5 linked regions of the Coturnix japonica genome follow. The protein of the gene in region 3 interacts with the protein of the main gene of each other region in a biochemical or structural test. Links are inferred from orthologs where the notes say so. Each region holds a gene or a part of one and is shown on either strand. Other genes may lie near its edges. The genes, in order: SETD7, PHB, E2F1, PURA and CCNA1.

What was found.
Region 1: of the proteins of E2F1 (region 3) and SETD7, one has a biochemical effect on the other in vitro, tested with the Homo sapiens proteins (3 studies listed by BioGRID). The link is inferred for Coturnix japonica from reciprocal best matches to the Homo sapiens genes E2F1 and SETD7.
Region 2: the proteins of E2F1 (region 3) and PHB form a complex in vitro, tested with the Homo sapiens proteins (2 studies listed by BioGRID). The link is inferred for Coturnix japonica from reciprocal best matches to the Homo sapiens genes E2F1 and PHB1.
Region 4: the proteins of E2F1 (region 3) and PURA form a complex in vitro, tested with the Homo sapiens proteins (2 studies listed by BioGRID). The link is inferred for Coturnix japonica from reciprocal best matches to the Homo sapiens genes E2F1 and PURA.
Region 5: the proteins of E2F1 (region 3) and CCNA1 form a complex in vitro, tested with the Homo sapiens proteins (2 studies listed by BioGRID). The link is inferred for Coturnix japonica from reciprocal best matches to the Homo sapiens genes E2F1 and CCNA1.

Annotation. Positions count from the first base shown.
Region 1 is NC_029519.1:25,733,291-25,738,523, reverse strand, and holds part of SETD7 (histone-lysine N-methyltransferase SETD7), read left to right. Parts: intron 1-717; coding exon 718-847; intron 848-3,781; coding exon 3,782-3,983; intron 3,984-4,787; coding exon 4,788-4,977; intron 4,978-5,233. UniProt on the Homo sapiens protein: Histone methyltransferase that specifically monomethylates 'Lys-4' of histone H3. H3 'Lys-4' methylation represents a specific tag for epigenetic transcriptional activation.
Region 2 is NC_029542.1:2,951,367-2,957,298, forward strand, and holds the start of PHB (prohibitin), read left to right. Parts: upstream 1-2,425; 5' UTR 2,426-2,525; exon of another isoform or gene 2,526-2,631; intron 2,632-2,982; 5' UTR 2,983-3,020; coding exon 3,021-3,108; intron 3,109-3,483; coding exon 3,484-3,645; intron 3,646-4,129; coding exon 4,130-4,272; intron 4,273-4,430; exon of another isoform or gene 4,431-4,542; coding exon 4,543-4,659; exon of another isoform or gene 4,660-4,686; intron 4,687-5,018; coding exon 5,019-5,114; intron 5,115-5,574; coding exon 5,575-5,787; 3' UTR 5,788-5,932. Other genes in the region: ATP-dependent RNA helicase DHX8, read right to left, coding at 138-223, 479-551, 746-831, 1,368-1,479.
Region 3 is NC_029535.1:1,932,416-1,938,430, reverse strand, and holds E2F1 (transcription factor E2F1), read right to left. Parts: upstream 3,750-6,015; 5' UTR 3,735-3,749; coding exon 3,543-3,734; intron 3,275-3,542; coding exon 3,184-3,274; intron 2,923-3,183; coding exon 2,703-2,922; intron 2,562-2,702; coding exon 2,409-2,561; intron 2,262-2,408; coding exon 2,147-2,261; intron 2,061-2,146; coding exon 1,868-2,060; intron 1,298-1,867; coding exon 1,050-1,297; 3' UTR 139-1,049; downstream 1-138. UniProt on the Homo sapiens protein: Transcription activator that binds DNA cooperatively with DP proteins through the E2 recognition site, 5'-TTTC[CG]CGC-3' found in the promoter region of a number of genes whose products are involved in cell cycle regulation or in DNA replication.
Region 4 is NC_029528.1:15,483,232-15,489,250, forward strand, and holds the start of PURA (transcriptional activator protein Pur-alpha), read left to right. Parts: upstream 1-2,212; 5' UTR 2,213-2,227; coding exon 2,228-3,229; 3' UTR 3,230-3,434; intron 3,435-6,019. Other genes in the region: translation initiation factor IF-2-like, read right to left, coding at 219-1,808. UniProt on the Homo sapiens protein: This is a probable transcription activator that specifically binds the purine-rich single strand of the PUR element located upstream of the MYC gene. May play a role in the initiation of DNA replication and in recombination.
Region 5 is NC_029516.1:154,344,948-154,350,942, forward strand, and holds the start of CCNA1 (cyclin-A1), read right to left. Parts: upstream 3,412-5,995; 5' UTR 3,228-3,411; exon of another isoform or gene 3,208-3,227; intron 3,130-3,207; 5' UTR 3,113-3,129; coding exon 2,990-3,112; intron 2,236-2,989; coding exon 1,992-2,235; intron 1,772-1,991; coding exon 1,647-1,771; intron 1,369-1,646; coding exon 1,145-1,368; intron 385-1,144; coding exon 180-384; intron 1-179. UniProt on the Homo sapiens protein: May be involved in the control of the cell cycle at the G1/S (start) and G2/M (mitosis) transitions. May primarily function in the control of the germline meiotic cell cycle and additionally in the control of mitotic cell cycle in some somatic cells.

The sequences.
Region 1 (5,233 bases), on a different chromosome or scaffold from region 3:
AGTTACTGCGTTTTTAAAGCTGTGTGTTAAGGGAAGGTAGGGTGATATGGAACTTGTTTATTTGGCTCCGGGGGGACCTCACTGTGGCCTTCCAATAGTAGAAGGGAGCATATAAACAGGAGGGAGGAATGGCTGTTTACAAGGGTGGGTAGTGATAGGACAAGGGGGAATGGTTTTAAACTGAGACAGGGGAGGATTAGGTTGGAGATTTAGGAGGAAGTTTTTTACACAGAGGGTGGTGATGCACTGGAACAGGTTGCCCAAGGAGGCTGTGGATGCCACATCCCTGGAGGCATTCAAGGCCAGGCTGGATGTGGCTCTGGGCAGCCTGGTCTGGTGGTTGGTGACCCTGCACATGGCAGGGGGTTGAAACTGGATGATCTTTGAGGTCCTTTTCAACCCAGGCCATTCTATGAATCTATTTCAGATAGGTTTCTACTTTTTCACTTGTTCTTCTGTCTCTCATGTCTTCTGTCCTCTCACTGTATCCCTCCTTTTTTTTTTTTTTTTCACTACTTATTCTGGGTACAGTAGCCTGAGTTACATTGAATCTCTTGATAACTTTTCTTAACAGAAATGTTTTGGTAAGGGTTCATGTTTAATACTGGGGAGGTGCTGCAACTGGGGCATCTGTGTGATAGGGGCAGATGTGCAAGTTGTTACCAAGTTTAATGTGGTTTTTTTTTTTTGCTGTTTGTTACATGGGTTTTCTTTCAGGACATCTAGACGATGATGGCTTGCCACATGGATTCTGTACAGTCACCTATTCATCCACAGACAGGTTTGAGGGAAACTTTGTGCATGGAGAAAAGAATGGCCGTGGCAAGTTCTTCTTCTTTGATGGAAGGTAAACACCAGCTCTCCTATGTTCTGTATTTCTCTTCCTGCTTTCAGTGCTATGAAGCTCAGTCCATGTTCCTCGCACTGAGAGTTTCCAAATAAGCTTTTGTATGAAGAGCTATAGTTGTATACTTTAGGAATTGGGATGTGCTCAGGGATATTGAAAAGTCACGGTGACAGCTACTTGGGTTACAGATTTCAAGCCTGTAACTGCAATGGACTTCTGTGGAGGCCTGTGAGGCAAGTCAGGGACCTGCAGCTCCCTGTGCCAGGCCATGCACAGGTGTAGGAGCCTCTCTGGGTGCTTCCATGTCTGCTTGGTCTTGGGAGCTGCTCATGGCTATGATGGAGCAAGTTACATGTGGCTTTGTTTTCAGCTCTTCTCCATCTTCTGCACGTCGCTTGTGGCCTGCTTTGTTTTCAGAGAAGCCCCTTTAACTTGCACTTTGTTTGTCTGGAGCTGTGGCAGTGACAGGGGCTGCTCTGTGCCTGTGGGTGCATTTCCTTCCTAAGCCCTCATCAGGAGCACCCCGAGTGCCTTCCCCCACCAACAGCGCTTCTCCTCGCAGTTGCTCAGAACTTCCTTGGAAGGAGCAGCAGATGTCTGAAAGGACACGATTCTTCATGGCTCCGCAGCTGCCGGTGGCACTATGAATAGCAGCTGCAAGGCTGACAGTCGTGCTGGCTCCGCTCTCCCCCTCCCAGCTCTGCAAACCTCCAAGCAGGAGCGGAGGTATTGTGCTGCTCAGTGAGTCAGCTCCTTGTCTGCACCCTTCTTTGCAGTCACTTCATACAGGAGACTGTGGGGCTGTTTTCATGGGGAGGATAATATTTTTATTCAGTTATGCAGAAACTGATCAGAACTCTGAGTCTGGATGAAGGAAAATCCCCTCTGTTGTTGGTAATGGGCTTATTAAATCTTGTGCCAGTCGCTGAAAATCACTACTGCCCAGCAGTTGACCTCTCCAAAACACTGTTTTTTTTTTTCCCAAGCTGGCTGACAGCGTCTCTATGGACACACGTACATAACACCTCTGTGCCTGCTGATGACTTCAGCAGAGCAGGCTCTGAGTGTACGGTTGGAGAAAGTGGCCCACAGCTTGGTTGGTGGAGCTGCTCCACCTCACCTGGCAGTGCTCTGTGGGGGAACTCGAGCTGCTGCCGCCAGTACTCAGCCTTTTCTGTACCTCTTTGCCATTGCCAGCTCTTGATTTTTCTTTAATTTACATAACCCTTAATAAAATGGAACGGTTGGCTGCTGGGTGACTGCAGGAACCAGCAAAATGAAAATATACCACAGCAGTCTGCAATATAGTTTTAGAAAATGGGGTGTTTCTATAAACTGGCCTGAGCTTATTGTAATTGAGCCACGGCAGCCATAAGCAAGCGGTGACTCTGGTTCCTAATGGCATCACAATTTACTTAGCTGTGCCCTGGTAGCAGGAGTGCCTTGGTCATGTCAGATGGCACAGTGAGGGAGGATGACTTGGCGTAGTGCAAGGCCTGCTGTTCCCATTACCTGTGCCTTCAGCCAGGCTGAGTGCTTAGGAAGGGATCTTATGAAGAGAAATGAATTGCAAACGTTTCTCCAGACATCTCTCCCTATGGCAGCACGTTCTGTGCTTCAGGGCTGGAAGCAGGCAGATTTCAGCTAACCTTAAGAGTCCCCATGACTAAACATCAGTTGGTGTTTTTTTTGTTTGTTTTTTCTTTTTCTCCCCCTTCAAAAATGCAGTTCACCCCACATATCCTTTCTGAGAGCAGGCTCACCTCTGGCAGGTTCTTTGCTCCGATGACATACTCGAGCTCTCAGCAGTGCTAATGCTTGCAGGAGAGCACTTCACAAGCACTTTGCACAATAGCTGTGAGCGTGATGTTAGCGCCTGGCGCTAAGCTGCAGCTGCTGCTTCCATTAACCAGGCACTCCCATAAGCTGACAGCTCCCAGATCACAGCAGGGACATGTGTTATGTTTAAGAAAAAGCTTTCAGTCCTGCCATGTATAAGGAAAGGTGGGTAAGGGCATGTTGGTGTGGTTTGGTATTGGGAAGCATACTGCATTAAGCCTGACTTCTTTCGAAGAGTAAACTTAAACGTGAGCTTTGTGTGTGTTATCAGCTGCAGAGAGTTTTGCTCTTGTGTTCCCAGACAAACTGCTTACTCCGTAAATGTCTGCATCAGAAGCAGAATTAGACAGCAAAAGTGCATGTGCTGCAGCCAGTCATTAGCTAAATGTGCTCAACAGTTTGTATTACCTTAGGCTGCTTCTGGCTCGAGGAAGAAGTGATTGTGAAGGAGGATCTGTTCAGTGTTGCTTTCGTTCTTTGTAGTTTCCATCAGCAGCCTTTTTAAGCAAGGAAACAAAGCAGAACACAAGTGTTGTTGCATCCCTTCTGAAGGGTTTGTGAGATGAAGTCGAAGTGAGCTGAGCTTGTCTTTGTTCAAGTTACAGCGCAGCATGAGTTGTGTTTGACAGGCTCTGTTCCATTTTAATAGAAATACATGGAAAAATGACAGTGCCTTTAGCAAATCCAGGACAGGTTGCTGCTAAGTGTATTGCTAGGAAGCCAGCTGTGACTTGGTGGCAGGTTGTGGTTTGTGCTCTATTATGGTCCACCTGCATGACAGTTCAGTGTCTTCTCACCAGAGTGATGTCACCACAGAGCCACACACAGGAGGTAGAAGAACCTAATGTGAGTGTAGCTTTCTTGAGCAATACTTAATTCTTGGACCAAGAGCTGTCCATTCATTGTTTTAATTTGCTACCACAGCCTATAAAAAAAGCTCAGCTGCGTAATTTAGATGAAGAATGTTCTGTACATGCTGTGTGCCCTAGTCAAAGGACAGCATAAGGAGCTTGGTTGTGTTGTGCCAACACTGAGGCTTTGCTTCTTACAGAGGTGAATAGTCTTCTATAGCTGATTCCTTTCTCTTTTTGCCAGCACCCTGGAGGGGTACTATGTTGACGATGCCCTGCAGGGCCAGGGAATCTACACGTACGAGGATGGAGTGGTGCTTCATGGCACGTATGTGGATGGAGAGCTGAATGGCCCAGCCCAGGAGTATGACAGTGATGGGCGACTGATATTCAAAGGGCAGTATAAGGACAACATCCGACATGGAGTTTGTTGGATATATTACCCGGTAAACTTGACCTCTCGCTCTTTTTCTTTTTTCTTCACGTATCTTCTCTCTGCAGCTGAAGCAGATACCTGCCAAGGGCCAGCTATCCAAAAGGAAACATAAAAACCTAGGTGGAAGTTCTTTTTGTTCTGGTTTTGGGTAGTCCAAGATACAGTGGAACCTTCTCAGTGTTGCTCAGTGTACAGTGGGGCTGTGAGCAGACTGCTGATGAAATGCATGGGAGACAACAAGCTAACATAACCTGCTGCTCCTATTTAGCTGGGGAAGGACACCTATACAAGGTGTGTGCTGCCTTGGCCCAGCAAACAAGATGGAGCTGGTGTGAGAACTCTGCCTCTGACTGTAGGGTGTGGTAGTACTTGAGTCAATAAGTGAGCCAGAGTTTTTCTGATTCTTGGTAGAAACTCAAGTATTCCTCTGGAAAACCCTTCAGAATTGCTATGTGCTCTTATTACCGTGCTGAGTTACAGCAACAATGGTGATTCTGTTGGTTGTTTTTCAGGTGGGCTTTTGTACGTGCATTACTTTGGGCCTTGTTTCACAGTCTGTTCACATAAAGCTTCTGTGAACTGAAGCTCAGTTGTGTCAGGCAGGAAAAAGCTTGGGTTTGGGTGGTGTCAAACAAGTTGGATGACCCAGTCCCAGTTAATTTCTTTTGTCATTTTTATCCTGACCAGAATCAGATCCAGCTTCTTATGTCATTCTTCCTCACACCTGAGCTTATGGCAGTTAGCTTAGGTTGCTGCTTTTCAAAACTCAGGAACAATTACTAAGAGCTCTTTTCTTCCTTGTCCATACTTTCAGGATGGAGGCAGCCTTGTAGGAGAAGTGAATGAAGAAGGAGAGATGACTGGAGAGAAGATCGCCTACGTGTACCCTGATGGAAGGACTGCATATTCCGGAAAGTTCATAGATGGAGAAATGATAGAAGCAAAACTGGCAACCCTGACATCCTTAGAGGATGGGAAACCTCAGTTTGAAGTAGTACCGGGCAGTAAGTTCCGCTAAACACGCCAACTTGTATTCTTGCTACCAGCTCTGTGCTGCAAACAGCTCAGTCTCTGTAACATTTCTCATTAGAAACTCTGAAGGCTGGCTGTGATGAGAGGATGAGTGTATTAGTGAGAAGCCCTTTTCCTAAATGGTAAAATTGGGCAGAAAAGCACAAGCCCTTTGCTCTGCAGACAAATGGGAAGTGACCCACGTGGTGGTGCTACTGAACTGCATTTCGTAACCCTTCTCTGGTGCAC
Region 2 (5,932 bases), on a different chromosome or scaffold from region 3:
TCTCAGTCTGCTCTTATCCACGCTTTGGCTGGAGATATAAATGCTAACGTGAAGAAAAACCTGAAATAGAGACACCAAAAGAGCCACAAACTACATTTTCACACACTCATTAAAGGAAACTGAAATGATGACCTTACCCTAACGTTGGGATTGTCTGGCCTGCAAAGGGCTGGAAATAATTCCTTCAATCTTTCCTTTTCCGATTTGGGTTTGGTAACGGCCTCTGATTTGGAGATGAACAAAACAAACAGATAGTTTGTAAGAGTCAAAATGATTTCATCTCAGCCTTTCTGAAATTGAATGTTAAACTTTCAGCCACATATAGAGGTTAATACGGATCTTATTATTTTAGAATATTAAATATATTGCCCTCAGCAAACACAAGACACAAACTGCAAAGGATTCGAGAGCACAGTTTGGTTGGGTTTGTTTCTTTTTAACTGAACTGATGGAAGGGAAAAGAAAAGACTTCACTCACCTTTACTCGCAGATGGTTTTGATGGAGGCCGCATCGTTTGTATGAGACGCAACAAGTTGCTGATAAGGGAATCCTGCAAACAGAATAGAAGGTTTAAGATGTAAGAGGTGATAGCATCACTTTTGGTCATTATTACAAAGCACAATATGGGGGTAAACAACAGGGCAAAGATTGAAAGGCTGAATATTGCATAGCCCTGCAGTATAGCCAATCCCTATATCTCCCTTTGATAAAGGAACACACAGAACACATTCAGATCTCACTTACTGTGAACTCAGCCCCATTCTTTAGCAGAACGGCTTTAAACGTGTCAAACGTCGTGTTTTTCTCGGCGAGGCTGATCACAAATTCGGCTACAAAGAAAGAGCACAAAGTGAATCAAATAGCACAAGGGCACAGAATCACACAGAATCACAGAATGACCCGGGTTGGAAGGGACCTCAAGGATCATGTAGTTCCAACCCCCCTGCCTGGCAGGGCCACCAAACATACACATTTACTAGATCAGGTTGCCCAGGAGACCCCATAGATCCCCATAGAGACCCCATAGATCCCCATAGACCCCATGGACCCCATAGATCCCCATAGAGACCCCATGGACCCCATAGATCCCCACAGAGACCCCATAGATCCCATAGATCAGGTTGCCCAGGGCCCTGTCCAACCTGGTCTCGAACACCTCCAAGGTGTTCAAGGGCAGCACCCAGATCGATCCATCTACCTACAGAACAGCAGCATCCCCTTCTAGGCGCTCACATCTAAACGTTTTATAATATTTCTTTTAGAGATATATTTTATTCTTCTCAATTCCAAAGGCCTTTCGTTGAAGGCATCATGGCCGTCAGGCCCGGTTACAACCTCCCCACAGCTATCACCCCACCTCACTCACCCAGATCCTTATCGTTGATACCCAGGTGGTTGTCAAGCTCGGTGCAGACCTTAGAGACCAGCGATAAATACTCGAGCTTGGCGAGCTCCTCTAAAGCCGCCAGGTCCGCCATCTTTCCCCCACCCCCACCCCACACACCAGGAGCCACTTCCGCATCCGGGAAGCACCGGAAGTCAAGCTGATCATAGAGAGGATAGAGAGCTAGAGCGGCTCTGTCCGGATCCAATCAGCGCTGGGGGGTGCCGGAAGTGGCCGTTGCTAGGCGACGCTTGCCGCCGCCATGTCGGCCTTGCACTGGGAGGCGAGGCGAAGGCAGGCCGCGCTGGAGCGGCGCAGGGCCGCGTTAATACGGGTGTGTGTAGAGCGAGGGAAGGGCTGGGGAACGGAGCTAGGGCGGCTCTTATAGCCCCATATGTACTTTGCAGTCCGCGGGCTGCTCTAGAATGGATACGAGGCACGGTATTGATAACAGCCCGACGCAGGCATTGCCTCCCGGTGAGCAGAAAGCGGCCCTGGGGTTAAAGGAAGGGCTGAGAGCCGGGCTGGGCTCTACTCAGCTCTACCTTGTTCCTATTATAGAGCCTCAGCCGTATCGTTGCTGCTGCCCGAGTCATCAAGCGTCCAACCCAAGTGCCAGGCTGCCCAATCGCTTCACGGTAAGGAGCTGCCTCAAAGAGCTGAGATCCATCTGTTTAGAAGCCAAAGTAATTTCCCTTTGCATCTATAGGCTATTCAGTACATGCAGCAATGGTGAGGACCACAGACCACAACAAGCAGAGCAAAGCACCGCCTGTGTACAGCACAAGGAGCCATGTCAGCTAAAGCTAAGAGCTAAATAAAATAGCACTGCGCCTCAATGTCAATGGTCTGTGTTAAGCATTAAGCTCCTTCCTCTGCCTGGGCCTGCCCGGCTCTGGGGTTGCAGGCCCAGAGGCTCATTGCTATCAGCGAGCTAAACAACCAATAGGAAGCAGCCTTGCTCAGCATGTGGTACCGCCGCGAAGCTCGCTGGGAGTTGTGTCCTACCCTGTAACTACAATAACAACGAAGAACTACAAGTCCCAGAATGCCTCGTGGAAAGCGCGGGCCAATAGGGAGAGGGCGTGTTGAGGTTGCACGCATGCGCGGTAGGGTGGGAGGCCGAGGATTCATGTGGAGGTCAGGGGAGCTGCGGGAGGAGAGTGGGGTGGGAGGGGGCGGAGGGTCTTGGGGTATTGGAGCTGAGCTGGGGGCTGAGGGTACGAACGAGGCCTTCACCCGCCAGGTCTGTGTCCTGAGAGTCAGAGGCCTCGGGAAACGTGGGTGGGAGGAGGGAGGGGGGGAGAATGGGGAATTAAAGGGGGTTCGAGGTGTGGGGTTCCTCGAGGGGTTTTGGGGGGGGGGAAGGGGGGGATGTGGGGTCTTGGGTTCAGAGTCCAAGGTGATAAGGGGGGGGGGAGTGGAGAGGCCTGTATGGCTGCTGAGGGGCAAAGAAATTGCTATTATAATGAATGATCCCATTTCATGGTGGGCTTTTTGGATTGGGGTTCCATCCCAGCTCTAGGTACACACTAGGGCTGCCTGGTTTTCTCGTTTCCTATAGTTTTACCGAAGTTATGGGATTTTTTTTTTGCAGGAGGTTCATCATAAAGGGGTTAGAACAGCACGTGAGAAATGGCTGCCAAAGTGTTTGAGAGCATTGGGAAGTTCGGCCTGGGGTTGGCTGTTGCAGGTGGAGTCGTCAATTCTGCTCTATATAATGGTGAGTGGGACAGGCTGAGTGTTTCCAGTTCTCTTTATGTCCTTATTATCTGGCTGCTCTGTGCTTTTATTGCTTGTGGTATCTGGGGAAGACAGTGATAAAGCCTCTTTCAGGGCTGTTTTGTACCTTGTGCATTGCATAAGTAGGAGGAATTCAGGCTTTTTCAACACAACTCTCTTGTGAGCAGGCTGAGGGCTCAGTGGTAATGGATGAGTATTCTCTTTTGATTTGTTATTCCTAAGAATATTAATAGCTTTGCCATTTTTACATAGCAAAAAGCCTTAACTAACCTCCATAGACTGTCCCTATGGAAGTTTTGCTGCTGTGCAGATATAACTCATGATGCTACTGAATCTATGTTGTTTTCTTTTCCAGTTGATGCAGGACACAGAGCTGTTATCTTTGATCGATTCCGTGGAGTCCAGGATACGGTGGTAGGAGAAGGAACTCATTTCCTCATCCCCTGGGTACAGAAACCGATCATTTTTGATTGCCGTTCTCGCCCACGTAACATACCTGTCATTACTGGCAGCAAAGGTGAGGTTTGGGACTGGGCAGCTCTATAAGATCCAGGCACTCTGATGTGCACTGTGTGTGTCTCACTCTTCTGCTGCTTTGGAGCTGGGTGGGCAGAGGCATGAGAAAAAGCTTTTTGAAGACACTTATGATCATTAACGTGCTAGAGGACTATAGGAATGAGGGTTTTATCTCTGAACATGGAGATTCTATGAGTGTAGAGTTTAGCAGTCAGGAATAGTTTGATACTTATCCTTTAAATAAAAAGTCTGTGTTTACTGTAGGGTAATTCCCTGCATTACAGACAAACTGAAGCTTCAGTTTAATCTGTAAGGAGGATTTGGATCCCTATGTGAAATATAGTCCTTGGTTAATGAAATACTACAAACCTTTCCTTTGTTAGAAGTCTGAATGTTTGTCTTATTTTGCTTTCCTCTGGAGGGGACAGCTTCAGTATATCTCCTGCCCATAAGGTTTAATGCTAAATTTGTGCCTGTTTCTGCAGATCTACAGAATGTGAACATCACGCTGCGTATCCTGTTCAGACCCGTGACTGCGCAGCTACCCCGGATCTTCACAAGTATTGGGGAGGACTATGATGAGCGTGTCCTGCCCTCCATCACAACTGAAATCCTCAAATCTGTTGTGGTAAGAACAGCACAAATGCTGGGGTCAACCTGTCGCTTCTCTTTTGTTTTAGCACTAATGAGACGTGCTGAATTGTGGAAAATGTGAAGCTCTAAAATGAGGCTTCTCTTTATACCCCTTGGCTCTAATGTGCAATACAGAAGAGTTAAAACTGTATCTATGCTGATTGCTTCTCTGTCGTTTTAACTACTTGGCTTTATTTTCATCAAGTTGGGTGACAAGTAGAGCATCTGAGAGCTTTCTTCTCACTGTTGTCCATCCTGACTTCAGGCTCGCTTTGATGCTGGAGAATTGATCACTCAAAGAGAACTGGTCTCCAGGCAAGTGAGCGAAGACCTCACAGAGAGAGCAGCAACTTTTGGCCTCATTCTGGATGATGTGTCCTTGGTAAGAGTTCCCTTTCAGTTTTTCTCCCTGTGCAAATAGGGAAGAAAATTGGTAGAGGATCGGAGAAGAGGTGTGAAAGCTTGTGTATGTGGACCCTGTTTGTTTGCAGTTGCACATGATGCAGTGGTTACAGCTCAAGTCAAAGTAGTTGGTTGTGTCACTGGCCACCTATAGACTTTGTTTTTTAAAAGGATGGAAAGCTTGCTAGGTTTAGTTTCTGTTACACTGCATTCTTTTTTTTAGCGATACTGACTTTCCATCTTCTCTGATAAAGGCAAAACGCCTCCTGCCTTAGACATGTGCTGTTGGTAGCAGTGTTGCTGTAAATGCTGTTGTGGACTGTGATTTCTGCCTTGCAGACCCATCTGACCTTTGGTAAGGAATTCACCGAAGCAGTTGAAATGAAGCAAGTGGCCCAGCAAGAAGCAGAGCGAGCCAGGTTCATTGTGGAAAAGGTACTTTATTCTTTTGAGAAACTTTAGCTTGGAAGTAGTTCCTGGTATCTCAGTCATTTCTTCTCACAGTGAATACTTTAGTCACCTGCCCAGGAAACCAGGCAGGTATATGACAGGTGTCACTCAGAATCATAATGCTAATATAGTTCAGTGCTCAAATCTTCTCTAGACAGCTGTCCACCAGGAGTGCCCTTAGGCGAGCTGCTGTTTCATGAGGTTAAGATAAGACAATTTCAAGTCGATTTTTAAACATCCCCTCCACAATAGGCAAATATGTGTTTGTGTATATATGTGTATATGCACAGCTTTAACATACAACCACCTGGTTTAGCTCTCTTAAGTCTTCTGAAGGAAAGAACAATAGAGTGGTGAAGGGGGAATTTATACTTAAAGCTTGCCTGTAGCATCTTCCTTCTGTTTCCTTTTCTGCTCATTTTTCTTCTCACCTGTTTTCTTGCAGGCTGAGCAGCAGAAGAAAGCAGCTGTTATCTCAGCTGAGGGAGACTCCAAAGCAGCTGAGCTGATTGCCAACTCGCTAGCTACTGCAGGTGATGGCTTAATTGAGCTACGCAAGCTGGAGGCAGCTGAAGATATTGCTTACCAGCTTTCAAGGTCTCGCAACATCACCTACTTGCCCTCTGGACAGTCTGTTCTCCTCCAGTTGCCGCAGTGAACCTGGCTCTGCAGCCACAGCTAATCCGATCACCTTTACCTGCCAGTTCAGCTCTTTGCAGAAAAATCATTGCATTTTCCTGATTGGGTAAAGCAGAGAAAATGAAAATTCAACTGATTTAGGATTCTTTAATAAAACTGAACAT
Region 3 (6,015 bases):
CCACTCCAGGACTGTCCCCACTGTTCCTACCATGTGCCACTGTCTCACAAGGGCACTCCCTCATCTCCCAGCACCCACACTGGGATACCTGCCTGGTGCTGAGGCTGCTCACATCCCAGTTACAAAGTGAAGGCCACAGTCAGTAGAAACCTTTATTAAACACGAAGCTCAGCGGAACACAAGCTTGTTAAAGGCAGTAAGTGAAAGTGCGGCTCCAGCCTGGCCCCAGGGTCCCTCCATCCTCCCTTGGAGCCAGGGAGGAGGAAACAAACCCAAAACGCACTCAGCCTGAAGGGCTGCGCAGGAAATGAAAGAGAAAGCCTGGAGACAACATTTGGTCCTCACTGGGCCATGGGGGTCCACATATTCCCCATCCTCATAACATCCTGGGGACACCCCCAGCCCACCCCAACATTCTTCCCGCAGCCATCTGATGCCTGCAGCTCTGGGGCCAGCAATACCCTGCCGGGACCCTCCTCCTGTACCATCTCCCCCCCAGCACCCACTCCTGCTGTCCCGGGAGAGCCCCTCATGGCATAAATAATAAATAAATACCCCGCAGAGCTGGCCCCTCCCAGCACAAGGAAACCTCGCGGCACCCCCAGACCACCACATCCCCCACCCCCCCTTGACCCCTCCTGGGAAACTAAACGCTGTCCCCAAGGAACAATAATAAATTAATCCAATCTATACACAGGACTGCTTAAAGCTCTGCCACGGGCACCCTATGGCTGCCCGCAGTGGGTGGGGGGGCACCCAATGGGGACCCCTTGCTCCCCAGCATCCTCCTCTTGGGACAGGAGTAGGCCCCAATGTGGGCTCAAGCACCAAGCTGGGCTCTGTCCCATCATGGCACAGAGATGCCGGATAGGAGGGAAGAAAATATTGCAGAGGGGACGGATGGAGGGGGCCCAGGGCTGCTGCAGCACAGGGACCCCAGGAAGGCACCAGAGCCACACCAAGGCACAGGGCACCACGTGGCTGTCCTCAGCCCTGCCTGCGTCCCCCCCCTTGGCAGTGGGATAGCTTCTGAAATCAGGACAAGAGCCTCAGAAGTCCAAGTGCGTGAAGTCCCCAAAGTCACAGTCAAAGAGTTCACTGATGCCCTCACCCTCCTCCAGGCCGAAGTGGTAATCCTGTGCCTGTGGTGGTGACAGGGCAATGAACTCATCCGCCAGGAAGCCCGAGAAATCGTCCTTGGCCTGCTCCAGAAGGGTGTCCATGGAGGCCAGCGGTGACAGGCTCACATCCTCTGTGGAGCACTTGGAGGGCAGTGCTGTGCCTGGTAGCAGTGCTTCTGTGGGGACAGAGCGAGGCTGTCAGCCCCACAGCACACACCAGAACTGCTGTGTTCTAAGCTACTGAGGCCATGCAGATGGCACACAAAGCATCAGGAGTGATCAGAAACATCCAGGCCAACTGGGCAGCGTGACTCAGACCACTTGCTGAGTGGTGGGACAAAGAGGGACAGTGTCCTTTCCTAAGCAGAAAGATCCAGGGCTGTCTCTGCCAAGCTTGGGTAGGAGCAGAGCCCACAGCTGGGTGGATCACAGAATACCCCAATTTAAAAAGGACTCGCTCATAAGGATCATTGAGTCCAACTACTTGGCACTGCATGAGCATGGAGGTCAGGCTCCTCCTAACACACAGCCAAGACCTCAGCCCTGTAACCTCGTGCTCCTGGAACTGGAACAACAGTGATAACACTGTCCCCACACCACAGAGCCCAGGCAGTGCCCCCATTCCATTCCATTCCCATCCCATCCCATCCCATCCCATCCCATCCCATCCCATCCCATCCCATCCCATCCCATCCCTTCCCATCCCATTCCCATCCCATTCCCATCCCCATCCCCACCTTGCTCACCAGGCAGCAGCATGTTGACATCCTGAGCAGGATGCAGGAGCGGGGAGGCTCTCTGCTGCGATGAGCCAGGGGACAGCTCCTCAGCAGGTGCCTTGAAGGGGCTCTTGACGGGGCTGCAGACCCCTGAGCTGTCCTCGGGGCAGAGGAACACGTCGATGGGGCCCTGAGTGCTTTTCACTGAGACCTGGAAAGCCTGGGGACAGGAGGGACATGGAGTGCCAAGGTGGAGTTGTACCGAGGGCTGTGAAGATCCATGGGGAGGAGAGACCCCTCACTCACCTCTGCCGGGTCTGAGACTTGCAGCTGGGTCTCTGGGGGTGCCTTGATAACCATCACCATTTGCTCAGAGGGGTCCACAATGCTCCGAAGGTCCTGGCAGGTGACGTAGGCTGCGGTGCGGCGGGTCAAGGAGCAGACACGGGGCCACATTCACACCCAAAACCCCACACAGTGACCATAAGTGTCAGAGCAGGGGGGGGCTCCATTCCCCAACAGCTCTCCAGCCCATCCAGCCCCATCCCGGCCCCGCACCGAAGGATATTGCTGGTTGGAGGGATCCTCGGTGAGCAGCCGCAGCTGCACCGTGCACGTCTGGATGAGCTCGTCCAGCTGCCGTTCTGCCGCCTGCAGATCCCGCAGCTCCTTCTCCAGCAGCTGCTGTCGGCTTGAAGCCCCCGCGGCCACCTGGCTGCCCCTGGGGTACACAGGGCTGTCACCCCCAGCACTAACACCCCACTGCTGCCATCACCTCCCGATCTCAGGGTGGAACCCAACCTCCCTCCCTCCACCCAACCCTGGCAGCTTCGGTGTTATCCCCCCACCCTGATGGACATACATCCACTGGATGTGGTTCTTGGACTTCTTGCGGATGAGCTGGATGCCCTCCAGGACATTGGTGATGTCGTAGATGCGCCTCTTCTGCACCTTCAGCACCTCGGCCGCCCAGTTGAGATCCACCACACCATCGGGGGATTGGCTGAGCAGCTCCAGGAAGCGCTTGGTGGTGAGGTTCAGTGAGGTTTCATAGCGGGATTTCTCCCCAGGAGACTTTGCCCCTGTTGGGGACAGGTGCAAGATTCAGCCGTGGGGCGCGGGGCAGCCCCAGCACCGCCACACCCGGCAGGTGAGCAGCACCCGGCAGCTGCTGGCAATGGGAAGCTCGGGGGATGGTGCTGCAGGGCCCCGAGACTGAGCCCTGACAGCGAGCAGCCGGGCAGGGCCCAGCGCTCTACGGGGACGGCAGGTGGCAGAGGGGAAGAGGGAGGTGACGAGGCCCATCCCGAAGGGCTCAGGCCGGCAGCACAGCGGGGCCGTACCTCTGCCGGGGATGCGGGCCCTGCCGCGGGCGGCGGGCAGGCTGTCGGCGATGTACTGGTGATCCGTCTCCAAGTTCAGCTTCCGCTTCACCTGCGGGACAGGGCGTCCTCAGCGCGGGGACGCGGAACGCACCGCGGCGGCAGGGCCGGGCCCCGGCCTGTGGGGGCAGCCCCGCGCAACGGCGCTGCCGGGCGGAAGGCGGCCTCGGCGGCGGCTTCCGGAGCGGCGGTGCCCCGCGCGGCCGGGCTCTGACGGGGGGGGGGGGGGGGGTCCCGCGTGGGCACCGCGACGTCCCGGCCCCGCCCGGCGGCCCGCTCAGCCCCGCTCAGCCCCGCTCCCTCCCCCGTCCCGCGGTTACCGGCGGGCGGCCCAGCGTGGGGCGGCGCGGCGCGGGGCCGGGCTGGGAGGGCTGCGGCGTGGCGAAGAGCAGGAGGTCGGCGTCGGGGCGGCAGCCGCCCGCGGGCTCCTCGGAGGCCGAGACGATGAGGAGGTGCGGGGAGGAGCCGCCCAGCAGCGCCGCCAGCCCCGCCGCGCCGCCCGCCGTAGCCATGGCTCAGGTGACGGGCGGCGCGGGGCGCGGGGCCGCGGCCGGGGCGGGGGCGCGGCCCATTGCCGGGCGCGGGGCCGATCCGCGGGGCCGTTCCCCAGGTCGTTCCGGGCCGTTCCGGGTTGTACCGGGCCGTGCCGGGCCGTGCCGGGCTGTGCCGGGCTGTCCCGCGCTCCGGCCCCGCGCGCCTTTGCGCGCCAAATCCTTTTTGCCGCGAAAGCGGCGCCAACCTCCCCGCGCCCGCCCATTGGCTGCGCCCAACGCCGAGCGCTGAGGCGGGGGTGCGGGGAAACCGTCTGATTGGTCGAGGTCGCCGGAGGGAGGGGCGGTGCCGGCCGCCCATTGGTTAAGGGCGGCGGCGGCGGACGCGCTGACAGGCGGCCAATCAGAACCGCCGAGCTGAGGCAGGAGCCAATCGGGAGGCGTCTCGGGGACGCGGCCGTGGCGCCGCGTGGGTGAGGAGCGCGGCCGGGCCTTAAAGGGGCCGAGGGCGGCGCGGAGCTGGTCCCGCGTGGGGTCACTCACAGACGGGTCTGAGCGCCGGGCGCTCCCTGCACTGCTGGGCTAGAGCTGCCCGTGACGCTGTGCGGGCTGCGGGGCTGAGCTGCGTGTCCGTGGCGGTGCGGGCGGTGCAGGGCAGGGCAGCCCATAGTCAAAGCCGCGGGACGTGGCGTGGGCGGCTCCCGCCGTCTGTATCCCGTGTGCGGGGCGCTGATAACCTCAATGTGCCTCCAACGGAGCCCAACCCACAGGGACATAAACACCCCCCCATCTCGGTACTGCGGGGCCGGAGTTGGAGCTGCGGCCGCAGCGGGGCTCAGCGGGACGGCCGGGTTAGCGCTGGGTGCGGGCGGTGCCTCACAGCGGGGATGTAGTGAACGCTGAGCGGTGTTTTGCTGCTCGTTCTTCCTGTGGCTGCGGAGCCCACGGCCCAGCCCTGCAGCACAGCACCGAACGGCAGCACCGCTCCGCTTGGCGGCGGTGAGCGCTGTTAATTAACGCTCGGCCCTTGCGATAACCCGCACCCCGGTCACGGCGATATCCCCGTTAGCGAGTGGTACGAGCAGCAGTTACACGCCAGATGCGGCCCGTTGGTGCCGCCCCGCCCGGACACACGGTCCCACCCGCCCCGGCTGCGGGGCCGTTCCGGGGCCGCGGGCTGTGAGCGGCAGCTGCGGCACCAGCTGCTCCCACCGCGCTCACAAAGGCCGGGGCAGCTGGGGGCAGCACGGGTTTGTTTTATTCCCCCCTCCCTCATTCATACGGCAGTTTATGCAGGGGGAGCGGGCTCCCCCCCCCAACCTCCCCCGTGCCAATTCGCCGAGGCTTTCAGCTCTTGTGGCACTTGAAAAGGGCAGATGCAAAGACAAATGAAAGGCAAAACAGTCACTGCGACAAATGCTGAGGGGGGAAAGGGGGCTTTTCCCCACCCGCGGATGAATCCCACCTGGCACAGCTGCGGGTGGTGATAAGCTGCCAATGGGTGCTGAGCCCTGATAGCTGCCAGTGCTGCACTGCATCTCCTGCTGGGCTGGGGGGGGTCAGAGGGCTCTGCAAGCTGCAGGCTTGGCCAACGTTATCCCTTTGTGGGCATGATTATGGACAGCCTGTGGGTCTCTAAGGCCACGCACGGTCATCTGCTGGTGGTGGGAGCACACAGGGGAGCTGGGAGGATGCAAATCTGGACTCAAACCATCCCTGCTCTGACCTCAGGGAGGGTTTGATCACAGCACTGCCCCTGGGTTCCTGCTGGGACACATTCAGCATCCCAGACTGCTGCTTTGGATTCCTACAGAGGGACCCGACCCCACATCGTTGTCCTGCCTTCTTTCAGGTTGGAACGGCGTTTTGGGTGTTTTTCCACATGGGAGATGGCACAAGTGGATCCTGCTTCCCAAGAGTTAGGAATCCTTCCTTTCGTTGTATTACTATACAGAACGCTACAGTAGCAATTTTGCCCCCAGGATACCAGCTATGGCCTTGGATGCTGAACAGAGCAAGTTCAGCTCCTTTACTTCCTTCTCTTTTACAGTGGTATCCAATGTTGAAACTCAGTATCAACCTGCGGTCCCAGGGTGAGGGCAGCAGGGCCATGGAAGCTGCTCGCCCCCCGAACCAAGACAGCCTTGTGAAGCCCCTGTGAGCCAGAGAAGTCACTGCCTGCCTCCCAAATGAGCTGCTGAACGCTGCTCCATCCCACCAGGCTCTCAGGCTGCCTTCAGCCCAGTGTGCTGGCTTACAAGGGGAGAATAGGGCAGGATGTCTTCTGCAGAGAGCCAGAGCC
Region 4 (6,019 bases), on a different chromosome or scaffold from region 3:
TCGGCCCCGCCTCGCCCCTCTGCTCTCCTCCCGTCTCCTCCTGCCTGCTTTGTTCCGCAGTGGAGCCGAGCGACCGTGCGGGGCCGGGCGGGCGGTAGTTCCGCGGTTCCGGTGCCGCCGGGACGGAGACACAACAGTCCTCGGCCCGGCCGCACTCCCCAGCGGCGTGGCGGCCCCTCGCGGCTCAGGTCTCCGCCCGGCCGCTCAGCCCCACCGGGTCAGTGCCCGGTGCCGTGCATTGACCCACACCGACGGCCCTCACTGTCTCCGACCGGCTGCCGGCTCGCTGCCGAGACCCTGGGGATTCCAATGCGCCCCCAACCCTGGATTTCCCTGCGCAGTCTGGCGGAGCTTCCTGGCCCTACCGGCAGCCCCGGGCCCGACGGCGGAACGGCACCGGGTCCTTTCACGGGGCGGATTGCTCCGTGTCCCTGTCTTCGGGAGCCGCCCCGTCGGGCCGGACTCCGCCAGTAGCCGCCGCTGAGCAGCAGAACGGGAGAGGAGCCCCGGCACGCGCTTGGTCTTAAACCGCCTCGCTGTCTGATGGCCACGGGGCCGACGGGGCGGGGCGGGGGAGCCACGGTACCGAGGTACCGGTCCGGCGCGACACGGCCGTCCTGAGCGGGTCCAGAGCCAAGATTTTGTTTTCCGCATTTCCCCGCCCGCCGGAGGCCCTTCCCGGCCGTCCCGGAGCCCCCCGGTCCCGGAGCGCCGACCCCGTCCCGTCCGGTGTTCAGCCCCCACCCGATCCCGGGACTCGGTGCGGCCCCGCGACCCGCAGCGGTTCTGCCCCGTCGGGTTCCGGCAGCGCCGCCGTGGGGGGAAAGGAGCCCCGGGAGCGTTCGTGGCGAGACAGATTTCCACGGCAAGACGCGAAGCGCTCCGCCCGCAGCGGGACTCGGCTCCCCGGTGAGCCCCGCTCCGTGGGCCGGGAGCCCGGAGAACGGCCGTCCCGTTCCGCTCGGGGTGACCGAGGGACGCTCTCCGCGTCTCAGCCGCGGCGAGGGGCGGCCGCCCGGTTCCCTCCAGCCGGGCTCGTCCTTTCGATGGTTTCCGAACAAAGGCTCCTCGCAGCCGCCCGGATCGAACCGCGATTCTTCACGATAAAGAATCACACGGCGGCACCGGGCCGGCAGCGGGGCCCGACTGCGGACGTGCGCCAGGCCACGGCCGTGCCCGCCCGCTCCGCCGCCCGTTGGGGCCGGGGCCGCTGCCGTCGCGCGTCCCCTTTGGCGGCGTCGCACTGAGACGGGTGGGCCCGAGGGGTCGGAACCGCGTGTCCCGCTCCAGCCGCCCCCGACGGGACGATAGAGGGAACTTGAGGGAACCGGGGCTGGTGGGAGGGACCCGGGTCGGAAGCGGGGAGAGGTTCGTCCGGAGGGCGGCGCGGTACCGTATAGTGCGGTATGGTACGGTATAGTACGGTATAGTACGGTATAGTACGGTATGGTACGGTATAGTACGGTATGGTACGGTATAGTACGGTATAGTACGGTATAGTACGGTATGGTACGGTATAGAACTGTATAGTACGGTATAGCACTGTATAGCACGGTATAGCACGGCATAGCACGGTACGGTACGGTATAGCACGGTACGGTACGGTACGGTATAGCACGGTACGGTACGGTATAGCACGGTATAGCACGGTACGGTACGGTATAGCACGTTATAGTACCGTATAGCACGGTATAGCACGGTACGGTACGGTATAGCACGGTATAGCACGGTATAGCACGGCGCGGCACAGCGTCACTCCGCACGGCACCGCACGGCATAGCACCTCGTATCACGGCACAGCCCTCCATAGCACTCTATAGCCCTCCATAGCGCTTGGTATCACGGCACAGCGCGGCCCCGCCCGCCCGTCCCGCTCGGTGCCGTCCGCTCCCGCTCGGTTCCGTGTCGCGGTTCGGCCGCCGGTCGGCGCGGCGCTGCTTCCCGCTCTCGGTTCGGCCGGCTCTGGGGGCCGCTCTCTGCCGCCTCCCGCGCCCTCTCCTCGCTCCCGCAGATCTCGCGAGAGCGGCCGGCTGGTGGCCGCGGGGGCTGTTGCAGCGGCGGCGGAGCGGCGGGCGGAGCGGCGGCGGCGCGGGCGGCGGCCGGGGCGGCCGAGGCGGCGGCGCGGGCGGCAGCGCGGGGGGCGGAGGGCGGCATGAGCGGCGGAGCGGCGGCCGAGGCGGCGCTGCCGGGCGGCGGCGGCGGCGGCGGCGGGCGGAGCGGCGGCATCATGGCGGACAGAGACAGCGGCAGCGAGCAGGGCGGCGGCGGCGGCGGCGGCGGCGGCGGCGGCGGGGGCGCGGCGGGCGGCGGGGGGCCGGGCTCGGGCTCGGGCTCGGGCGGCGGCGGCGGCGGCGGCGGCGGCGGGCCGGGCGGCGGGCTGCAGCACGAGACGCAGGAGCTGGCCTCCAAGAGGGTGGACATCCAGAAAAAGCGATTTTATCTGGACGTGAAGCAGAGCTCCCGGGGCCGCTTCCTGAAGATCGCAGAGGTGGGCGCCGGCGGCAACAAGAGCCGCCTGACGCTGTCCATGTCCGTGGCCGTGGAGTTCCGCGACTACCTGGGCGACTTCATCGAGCACTACGCGCAGCTGGGGCCCAGCCAGCCCCCAGAGCTGGCGCAGGCGGCCGACGAGCCGCGCCGGGCGCTCAAGAGCGAGTTCCTGGTGCGGGAGAACCGCAAGTATTACATGGATCTGAAGGAGAACCAGCGCGGCCGCTTCCTGCGCGTCCGCCAGACCGTGAACCGCGGCCCGGGGCTGGGCGCCGCGCAGGGCCAGACCATCGCGCTGCCGGCGCAGGGCCTGATCGAGTTCCGCGACGCGCTGGCCAAGCTCATCGACGACTACGGCGTGGAGGAGGAGCCGGCCGAGCTGCCCGAGGGCACCTCCTTGACTGTGGACAACAAGCGCTTCTTCTTCGACGTGGGCTCCAACAAGTACGGCGTCTTCATGCGGGTGAGCGAGGTGAAGCCCACCTACCGCAACTCCATCACCGTCCCCTACAAGGTCTGGGCCAAGTTCGGCCACACCTTCTGCAAGTACTCGGACGAGATGAAGAAGATCCAGGAGAAGCAGCGGGACAAGCGCGCCGCCGCCGCCGCCGCCCCCGCGGGCTCCGGGGCCGGGCCCGAGCCGCCGCCCGAGGCCGAGGGCAGCGCAGCCGCCGCCGCAGCCGCCGCCTCCGGTCCGCCCGGCGCCCTGCTGCAGCCCGACGAGCCCGACGAGGACTGACCGCCCGCCGGCCGCCCCGCCCGGCGCCGGGGCCGCGGACTCGGACTGCTCTCGGCCGCGCGGGCGGCAGGCGGCGGCCCGCGGCCGTTCCCGGGCGGCACCCCCGGAGCACCCCCCGCCCGGCAGCCTCCACCGAGCGACAGCAACGCCTCCGACCCGCCACCCATCGCTGGATGTCCCTCCACTTTTCCCACCGTATCAAACAGTAAGCAGCTGCTAAAACAAACAAACAAACAAACAAACAAAAAGTCAAAAAAAAGTAATAACATTATATATGAACTGTGTTTCCTACTTGATTAAAAATATAAAGAACTGAGTGTTTATTTCCCTAATTAACCGAGAACTTTTGTACACGTTTAAGCTATTATTATTAAAAGTGTTTGCAAAAATGGTCAAGATTATAATATTGCTGAATTATATAAAAAGTCCTTTTCATGTTGAGCTAACATTTGACTTTAGCACAAAAAGAAAAAAAAAAAAAGAGATATTTTAGAACACGTAAAATAATATTTTTAGTTTTTTCTTCTCATTTTGTTACCAAATTTCGAACCTTACATGGAGGTTACTATAGTATATTTGACACCCTATATACCTGTGATTAGAGATGTGTATATATATATGAGGGCTAGGCATGCTGTGTGTCTGAGCTTTGTCTAAATGTTATGCAGAAGTTTGTAGAGTTACAAGGTACGTAGGTTTAATTCATGCAAGGTAAACAATAAGTGCTCTCTTTTATACGATATGCATTGCATCTGGACCTTCGACATATAAAAATGGTCAGTGAAACTTCTGTGAACATGAAGAAAAATTATTAAAAAAGGCATTTAAATGAAATTTGCAAACTTGTGATTTTTACGTTGGAACCAAAGTTACTCAAATAGGAAAAATTAAAAAAAAAAAAGAAAGAAAGAAAGAAAAAGAGAGAGAGAGAAAAGTGAAGGGTTTCCTCCCGTAATATTTTTCTGCACCTGTTTGGTTTACAGCTCCGTAGGCGTATTGTCATTGTTGTGTATATGAGATGTTCATGTATTGTTCATAATCCGTTGTTTTTATTCTTATTCTGTGTACTTTGGGCACTCAGACGCTGCGCGGTGCGGGGCCGGCCGGCCGGTGCTGCCCGGTGCTGCGGGTCGTGCATTGCCGTGCATTGCCGTGCATTACCGTGCATTGCATTGCCGTGCATTGCCGTGCCATGCATTGCCGTGCATTGCCGTGCCGTGCATTGCCGTGCCATGCATTGCCGTGCATTGCCGTGCCGTGCATTGCCGTGCATTACCGTGCATTACCGTGCATTGCCGTGCCGTTCCGTGCCGCCGCGCCCCGCCAGCCCCGCGCCCGGGCCGAGCTCCGAACCGAGATGATTTGTAATAATAGATTTTTACAGGTGGATTTTTGTTTTCTTTTTCCTATTTTATTTTTTTTCTTTTTTAAAGTTGATGTGCTTTTCATTGACTAACTTCTTGCTGCTGTATAGTAAAATATTAATATATTTTTATCATTAAACTGCTGCATGACTATCATCGTGACGAGTGAAGAGAAGGTGTTACAAAACAAAAGATGCCTTAAGCAGTACAACTGGTACAACTGTAGTCGTTGGCCGGAGCTCTGGGGCGCAGGGGGAGAGCGGAGCTCGGTGAGAGAAGTTTGTTTTCTGCTGTCTGCTATTCCCATTGCAAACTGTAATCCCTTTCCCCCTCCTCCCTCCCCCTTTGTTTCGGAGATGTACTGTGAGTGTCAAAGCTGTTCCCGTCGTGCCGTGCCCTCCCCGTCGGTGTTCGCAGTTATCGATGAGGCGTCGGACGTTGGGCGATTCTGTTTCTCTAACAATCACTGGAATTGTTGATAATTGGTTTCATGTGCACTTTCCTGATTTCGAGCAGTAAAATAAGCTTTCCGAGCTCATGATGTGACATTCGGAACGGTTCTCAATCGCGTGCCGGCATCGTCGGGCGGTGCCGCCCGGGCTGTCCCGCCGCGTTCCTTCCCGCTGTTCCGGTGCTGCGTGCGGGGCGGGGGGCTCCGCCTCCAACCCCCGACGGCTCCGCTGGGCCGCACGGCGCTGCCCGCAGCCCCGGCCTTCAAACCCCCCAAGCTCGGCCCGGTGCGGTGCCGTTGGTGCGGGGCGCGGCGGGGGCGGCCGTCGGGGAGCGGAGCCGGAGCGCTCCGTCCGTCCGTCCGTGTCTCCTCGGGGCTTTTCTGGTGTGTTGGTCGTTGGTTTTTGTTTTCCCCTTCCTCCTAGGACTTGGCGAATGATGATAATGAGAGAGTAAAATGACTGCAAAGGTTCGTGGAGTTCGGGCTTGCTTTGGGTTGCTCTCGCTTTTCTGGTTTTGGTTCGATTCTTCTTTTTTCTTCTTTATTCTTTGAAATTCCTTCGCTCCCGGAGGTGCTCGGTGCCTTCCCACGGCTCCGATGTCTCAGTATTTAAAACAAAATGCAGAAAGCGCAGTTCGGTGCGGGAGAAGCGAGGTATATTTGACCATATGTGTTGTTTCTCACAAGGACAGTATGCTCAAATGTGCCAAGGTCCCCAATTCCTGAGCAGCACGCCTTATTTTCCTCGGTGACATGCTTTTAAATGTCGTGTAGGACAGGTCCAAGAGCACGATAGAGCTGCTTTGTAACGACTGCGCGCGAGAAAACTTGAAATGCATCGCAATACTGACATTGCTTTGTTTCTGAGTTAAAGGGACTCTGTCAAGTAATTGACTGCTAAAATGCGACCTCCCTGTAAATGGTTCTGCACTAACGGAGAAATGTCCTCCGAAGTCAAAATCTTTTGTTTTGTTT
Region 5 (5,995 bases), on a different chromosome or scaffold from region 3:
CCATGCATATTCATTTGAAGAAAGGATTCCTAAGACCTTGCTGCCAAGATAGTCTAGTTGACCAGACACAGGCTAAGCTCAGCATTCCCAGGCATTTATCCAGAAATAATGAAGCACGGAAGCCTGCATTTTGATGGTAGCAGCCTACAAATCTATCTTAAAAGAATGGTAATTCATACCCTTGCAAAATTCTCTGTCCTGAAACAGACTCCATGCTTGTGAATATACTGAAGTAGGAACTGGTTGATGGTTGGCACTGTGAGATCAAAAGCCAAAACCTTGAGAAGCAGGTGTTCCATTCTTAGCAGCTGCCTCTTTGTATATGTATCATCTGTTATATACACAAATTCATCCACTTCTGGAGGGTAGATTTCTTCATATTTCCTGGGAAAAAAAACAGAAAAGCCAGATTTGTGAACTTAAAAGTTAAAGTAACAGAACTTTCTGCTGGGCCCACATCAAGGTGAGCATATGACATTTCTAAGACAGGCTTAGAGGTCTTATTTTAAGATTTCCCTAGTATAGGAGAGGCTTGATTATCAGATTGGTGGGAAGGCAAAGATGTTCTCTAAGTCATCAGCCTAAATAGTCATACACTCATACTAGCACTCTTGACGAATAAGAAAACTCTTAAGGAAAAAATGTCAGTAACATCATGCACTCTAGACAAAAATCCATGCACCCTTAGGCTTTGCTGGATACCCTGCCTATTTAAAGCAGTTTAAGTTTAATTGCAGATTGCAACTTTTAACCTACTATGGGCTAGTGGCTTAATACAGCACTGTTTTTGCTTCTGGTATTATGATTACAAGGTTCTCCCTCTACAGTTCCTTAATAAAGAATATTAAATTCTTAGTTTTGCAAGAGTTAAAGTATGTTAAGTGGCTAATGACAGAACCCTAGAATCCTTACACTTAGAAGGAACCTTTAAAGATCATCTGGTTCAAGTCCCTGCAATAAGCAGAGACAAACACAGGTTGCCCAGGGCCTGATCCAGCCTTACCTTGAAAGCCTCCAGGGATGGGGCACCATCTTAGGACAGCATGAAAACCTACCTACCACCACAAGCTTAAAGTCCTTCAAATTAAACTAAAAGTCCAAAAATAAGTTCATCTCACTAAGATTTCATGAGATAAACACTCACGCTGCCAGAAGAATTGCCGCTGTTCCTACAAGCTGCAGCTTCCCTCTGAGAACAGACATACAAGAGAGAAACCTGTCCAGGTAGTTCACTGCCAAGTACAGTGTCTCTGTTCGAAGTTTATATTCTTCCCCTACTTCCACCAGCCAGTCTACTAAGATGGCACGCATTTCTGTTGTGATATCTGGTTGCTTCCTCATGTAGTAGGGCTTGGGCCTGTATTTCACCTGTTTAGAAAGACAATTTAAGAAACAGAACAGCCGTTGAAGTCACATGCGTTAGTATTTTGCAATAATCTACTCACATCCCATCTTCAGAATGTGGAGTAATGCCTGAAAAACATCATCACTGTCTAGAAGATTTCTAAGAACTAAGCTCCAGTAATGGCTTTAACTGTTTGTTCAGTGACAGCCTAGAGTTAGTGTGTGACAGCCATATGGCTTTGCAGTATTGCAGCCTTTAAGGAAGATCCTACACAGCTTTACATTTGTTAAAATATACTCACTTCAGCTTCTCTGAGGTACTGATGAATGTCTTCTGCATACTCTCCCACAGTCATTAGAGTTATAGGATCTCCCATCTGATCCTCAGGCCGGGACCGGAAGGATGTGTCCACAAGCATGGGAGATGCTAACAGGAAAGAGAAGCCAGGAAGGCATTTAGTTGATTAGTCTCTTCACTACCTCTGTCCATTTCTAGCATAGAAGTGTTGCGCATCACACTGACTCAATTAAAGTTATCATGAAGTGGTAACTATTTGAAGATAGGCTACTCACTAGCTCACTGCCAGCATGATTCATAACCACATTGCAAGTACCTGTGATACCATGTGAACATTAACAGGAGTTACCTGTACTCAGATCCAACAGTAGGTGAATGCTGGATGTCATTGCACTAGTATCCAGTTCACACAGGCTTGACTCCAGTTCTTCATCCTCTTGGCAGCTGAAGTTTTCTTTCTCTTCTGGTTCATCAGTGTAAATAGCAAAGTCCTGTTTTGATGTAGTACTGACCACACAGTTGGATATTTCATCTTTTCCAGCTGGAGGGAAGGCATTCTCAGAGCCAGATAAGTGTCTGGTAATAGCAGTATTCTGAAACAGAGTACACAATAAGGCTGTGGCAAGGTAATTCAAGAAGAAAACAGCAGTATCATTTGTTTTAGAGAAGGTATATCACTTTCCTTGGTTAACGGACAAATAATTACAAGTTTGCTGGGAAAGCCAGCAGCTACAGTTGTTACTTAAGAAATACTGCTTGCTTCTGCAACAGAGACCTTACAGGAGGCGATGGGCAGTGCAAGCCAGAAACCAGGAGCACAGCCTCACTCCCACAGAGTAAGGCAAGGACACTGCCTGACTCCAACCTGCTGGCATGTGCAGGGTCTGCTCCATATTCACTTCTAGCAAGGAGAAGGTGCTACAGCACGTCATGGCGATGAAAGGAAGCATTCAGGCACCATCACAGGCTTAACAAAGGACATTATGGGCCAAAATAAGTTCAGTTACAAAGCAAACTTTGAACTTCTGAACTTAAACACCACAATCCATAAGATTTCAGGTTACAATTCTCCCCATCATCGACCATCTACTGACTGAGCTATGGGCTTCACACCACCAAAACCAAGCATTCCACAGGCACACACAGCTGGGTGATGTCCTGTAAGCCAGCACAGCTGCTTTCTCCCTGCCACACCAGCCATCCCCAATTAGGGACCAGAGAGAGAGGGCTTGGGAAAGCCTCGCTAATTCCCCTTACTCCCAGTAAACGCAGCCGGCACGGCATTCCCCAGGCCGACCACGAAGCCCACCCCGGTCCCACGGCTCACTGGGGCTTTCCGGGTCTCACCTGGGCGCTGGGCCGCTGCTGCCCGTTCTCCACCAGTACCCCCAGCACGGTCCGCCCGCCTCGGGGCGCAGCGGGGAGAGGCTCCCTCCGCCCCGCTTGGCTCATCTCCCCCGTGCGGCGCATCACCGCGACTTCGGCACCTTCCGGACGAGAGGAAAAAAAAATAACAGCACTTAAAAAAATAAATTAATTAATTAAAAACACTTAACAAAACGTACCTGCCTACGGAGCCCCGCACCTGCCTCGGACGTGGCGATGGATTCAGCTACGCTACCCCCTCCCAACGCAGAGCCGCTCGCTGCTGCCACCCGCCGCTCCCTATATAGGCGGCGGCCTATGGGCGCGGCGGCGGCTGTTGGCCGCGGCCAGTTGGAGGCCGGGGCCGCAACCACCCGTGCCGCCGCCCTGGTAACCCAAGCGGTCTCGAGTCGCCGTGGAGACTCCACCAGAGCCGGGCTGACCCAGCAGGGACCGACGCGGGCCGAGCGGGGCGCGGGGCGGGGAAGTGCAGGCCCGCCTCCGCCCCGCGCCGGGTCCGCTCGGGCCGGTGGTTGGAGCCGCCTCAGCCCCGCGGCCGGTGGCGGCCAGCGGCGGTTTCTCGGTTTTTGAACCCCGAACCCTGATGAAGGAGCCGTTCGGGCAAAAGCAGAGCGGTTTTAAAGCATGAATATGAATAACGGGATGAGTTTGTACGCGGTGTCCCAGAGATAAGGTGTTTGTAGTGAGAAGGGAAGCTAGAGGGATTAGCGAAAGCAAGGGGGATGTGTGGGAAGTGGGAGCAGGCAGAAGGAACGAAGACCAAACAAGATAGAGCTAGCAGGCAATAACAAGAGATCCGCGATTACAAGGTCAACAGAGAAAACGGCCAGGGGAGGGCTAGATTCGAGCAGCACTGAGCCCATAGAAGCATTCCGTCTTCTGGCTTTGGTTCCCACTGAGGAGGTCACCACTAGTAAGACCGAAATAAGGTCACTAAATAATGAACAACCAGGTACGAAGGAAGCAGGTCGTTTCTGCCTGGTGCTGATAGAGGACTTGGGCAGATGTGCTCCATCTCCTTGTGAGCTCTGACAGGTTTCCAAGTTATAAGAGGAATGCCACCAGGCTCAAAAGGAGACAGGAATCAAGAGAGGTTACCTTGAGAGAGTCAGGAATCAAGAGAGGTTACCTTGAGCTCCCATAAGAGTTCAGTGAACAAATAATCACTAAGAACTAAACATTTAGAGTATAAGAAAAGGATGTAAAATGACAACAGCAGCTTTACAGGAACCTCCAGTGGAGCATGAGTCTCCATGTTTACGCTAGACAGCCATGAACAAGCAGGAACATAGCTTGAGTGGCACATGAGCCCTCTGAAAGTCCATAGAGAGTACAAAAGAAATTAACCTCTTTATTTGCAATGGCAAGAGCAAGCAGCATAAGGGCTTTACACCATGAGGTTTAGATTAGGCATCACAACTGTGATGCTCCAGAAGAGATGGCACAGGAGGTTTGTAGGATTTCCCCCTTCTGATCTGTAAGATCAAGTCAGAGAAATTGTCATCAGGAATGTCTCTGCTTTGAGAGAAGTTCTCGGGATAATTAAAGCGAAGGGCTCAGATAAAGATTTTGGACCCATCAAGCAAAGCCAAATCTGTTTTATACACTGCTTGTCATCCAAGCTGTATTAAAGTCTATGTTTTTTTCCTTCCCTCATTTCTCATGTTTTTTAAATTGACCTTTCTCCTCTCCTCTCCTCTCCTCTCCTCTCCTCTCCTCTCCTCTCCTCTCCTCTCCTTCTCCTTCCCCTCTCCTCTCCTCTCCTTCTCTCTCTCCTCTCCTCTCCTCTCCTCTCCTCTCCTCTCCTCTCCTCTCCTTCCTTCCTGTTGTTTTTCTGAGCTGAATCAGAGAAAAAAGGCCAACAATTAAAACATGAATCTGAGGTTCAGGAGTTGTTGGCCAAGGAATAAAAACAAGTCCAAGACTCAGCCTTGTTTCAGACCCCAGCTCTCCACATGTACAGAATAAAGCATTTGGGCTTCTACTGAATATTTACTGGACACCACCACTTAAATCCAAACTACTCCGGTATACAAGTTCATAAAAGCTCACAGTGAACCTTGATTTTGGACAGGTTCTGCAATCTAATGGGTAAAACCTCTGTGTACCCAAAAACTTAACATAAAACTACTTACAACTGGCAGTGTGGGCAGTCACAAACACAGCCTACATTGCCATATATATGTTAACACATTAAAAAGGGACAAAAAATGTACACCACCAGGCAGTTCAGTTATCTGCACCATAGATAGGTAAGACTGCAAGATTTGCCTTGATGGTGAACATACTCATCCTTCACTTGCTGTACAGAGCAGAATCACCCTGTGAGAGTGGCCTGGCTGGTTCTGAGAGCAGCCCGATGCACTGCATATCTTTATGATCTCTAGGCAAGTTGACCTTGGAGCACAGCCTGTCTGCAAATCCCTCTCATCCTCATGCTGCATGATAAAGACGCCTTCCAAAAATTATACTTGGACACCTTGTATTGTGTCTGATTGCAAGCACAGAGAGAGGTGGAAGCTACCAAACTGCCATCAAAGAGCAGCTGAACTATATATACCACAGGGAAGGAAAATCTAAAGCCTTGAGCAAGTGCACATTTTCCCCTTAGGGGCTATAATGATCCTTAGCAGAAGACTGTTGTATCTGACTTGAAGTGATTCTGGGCAGGCAAAGGCAGCACATACAGCTTGTCCTTTGGTAATGTGCTCTGCAGATCCACTGAACAGCTGATGGTACCAGAGCTTGTAGGCAGGTCCCACTCGGTGCTGGCAACGGCACCAACTGTATAGCCTTGCCTTTATCTGGAAGGTATTTTCACACAGAGGGTGGTGATGCACTGGAACAGGTTGCCCAAGGAGGCTGTGGATGCTTCCTGTACCACTTGTGGTTCCCAGCATCCAGAAGGACATAACATTACCTGTTTTCTTTTTCTTTCCTTCATTACCTCCAATAATCTGTAAATGA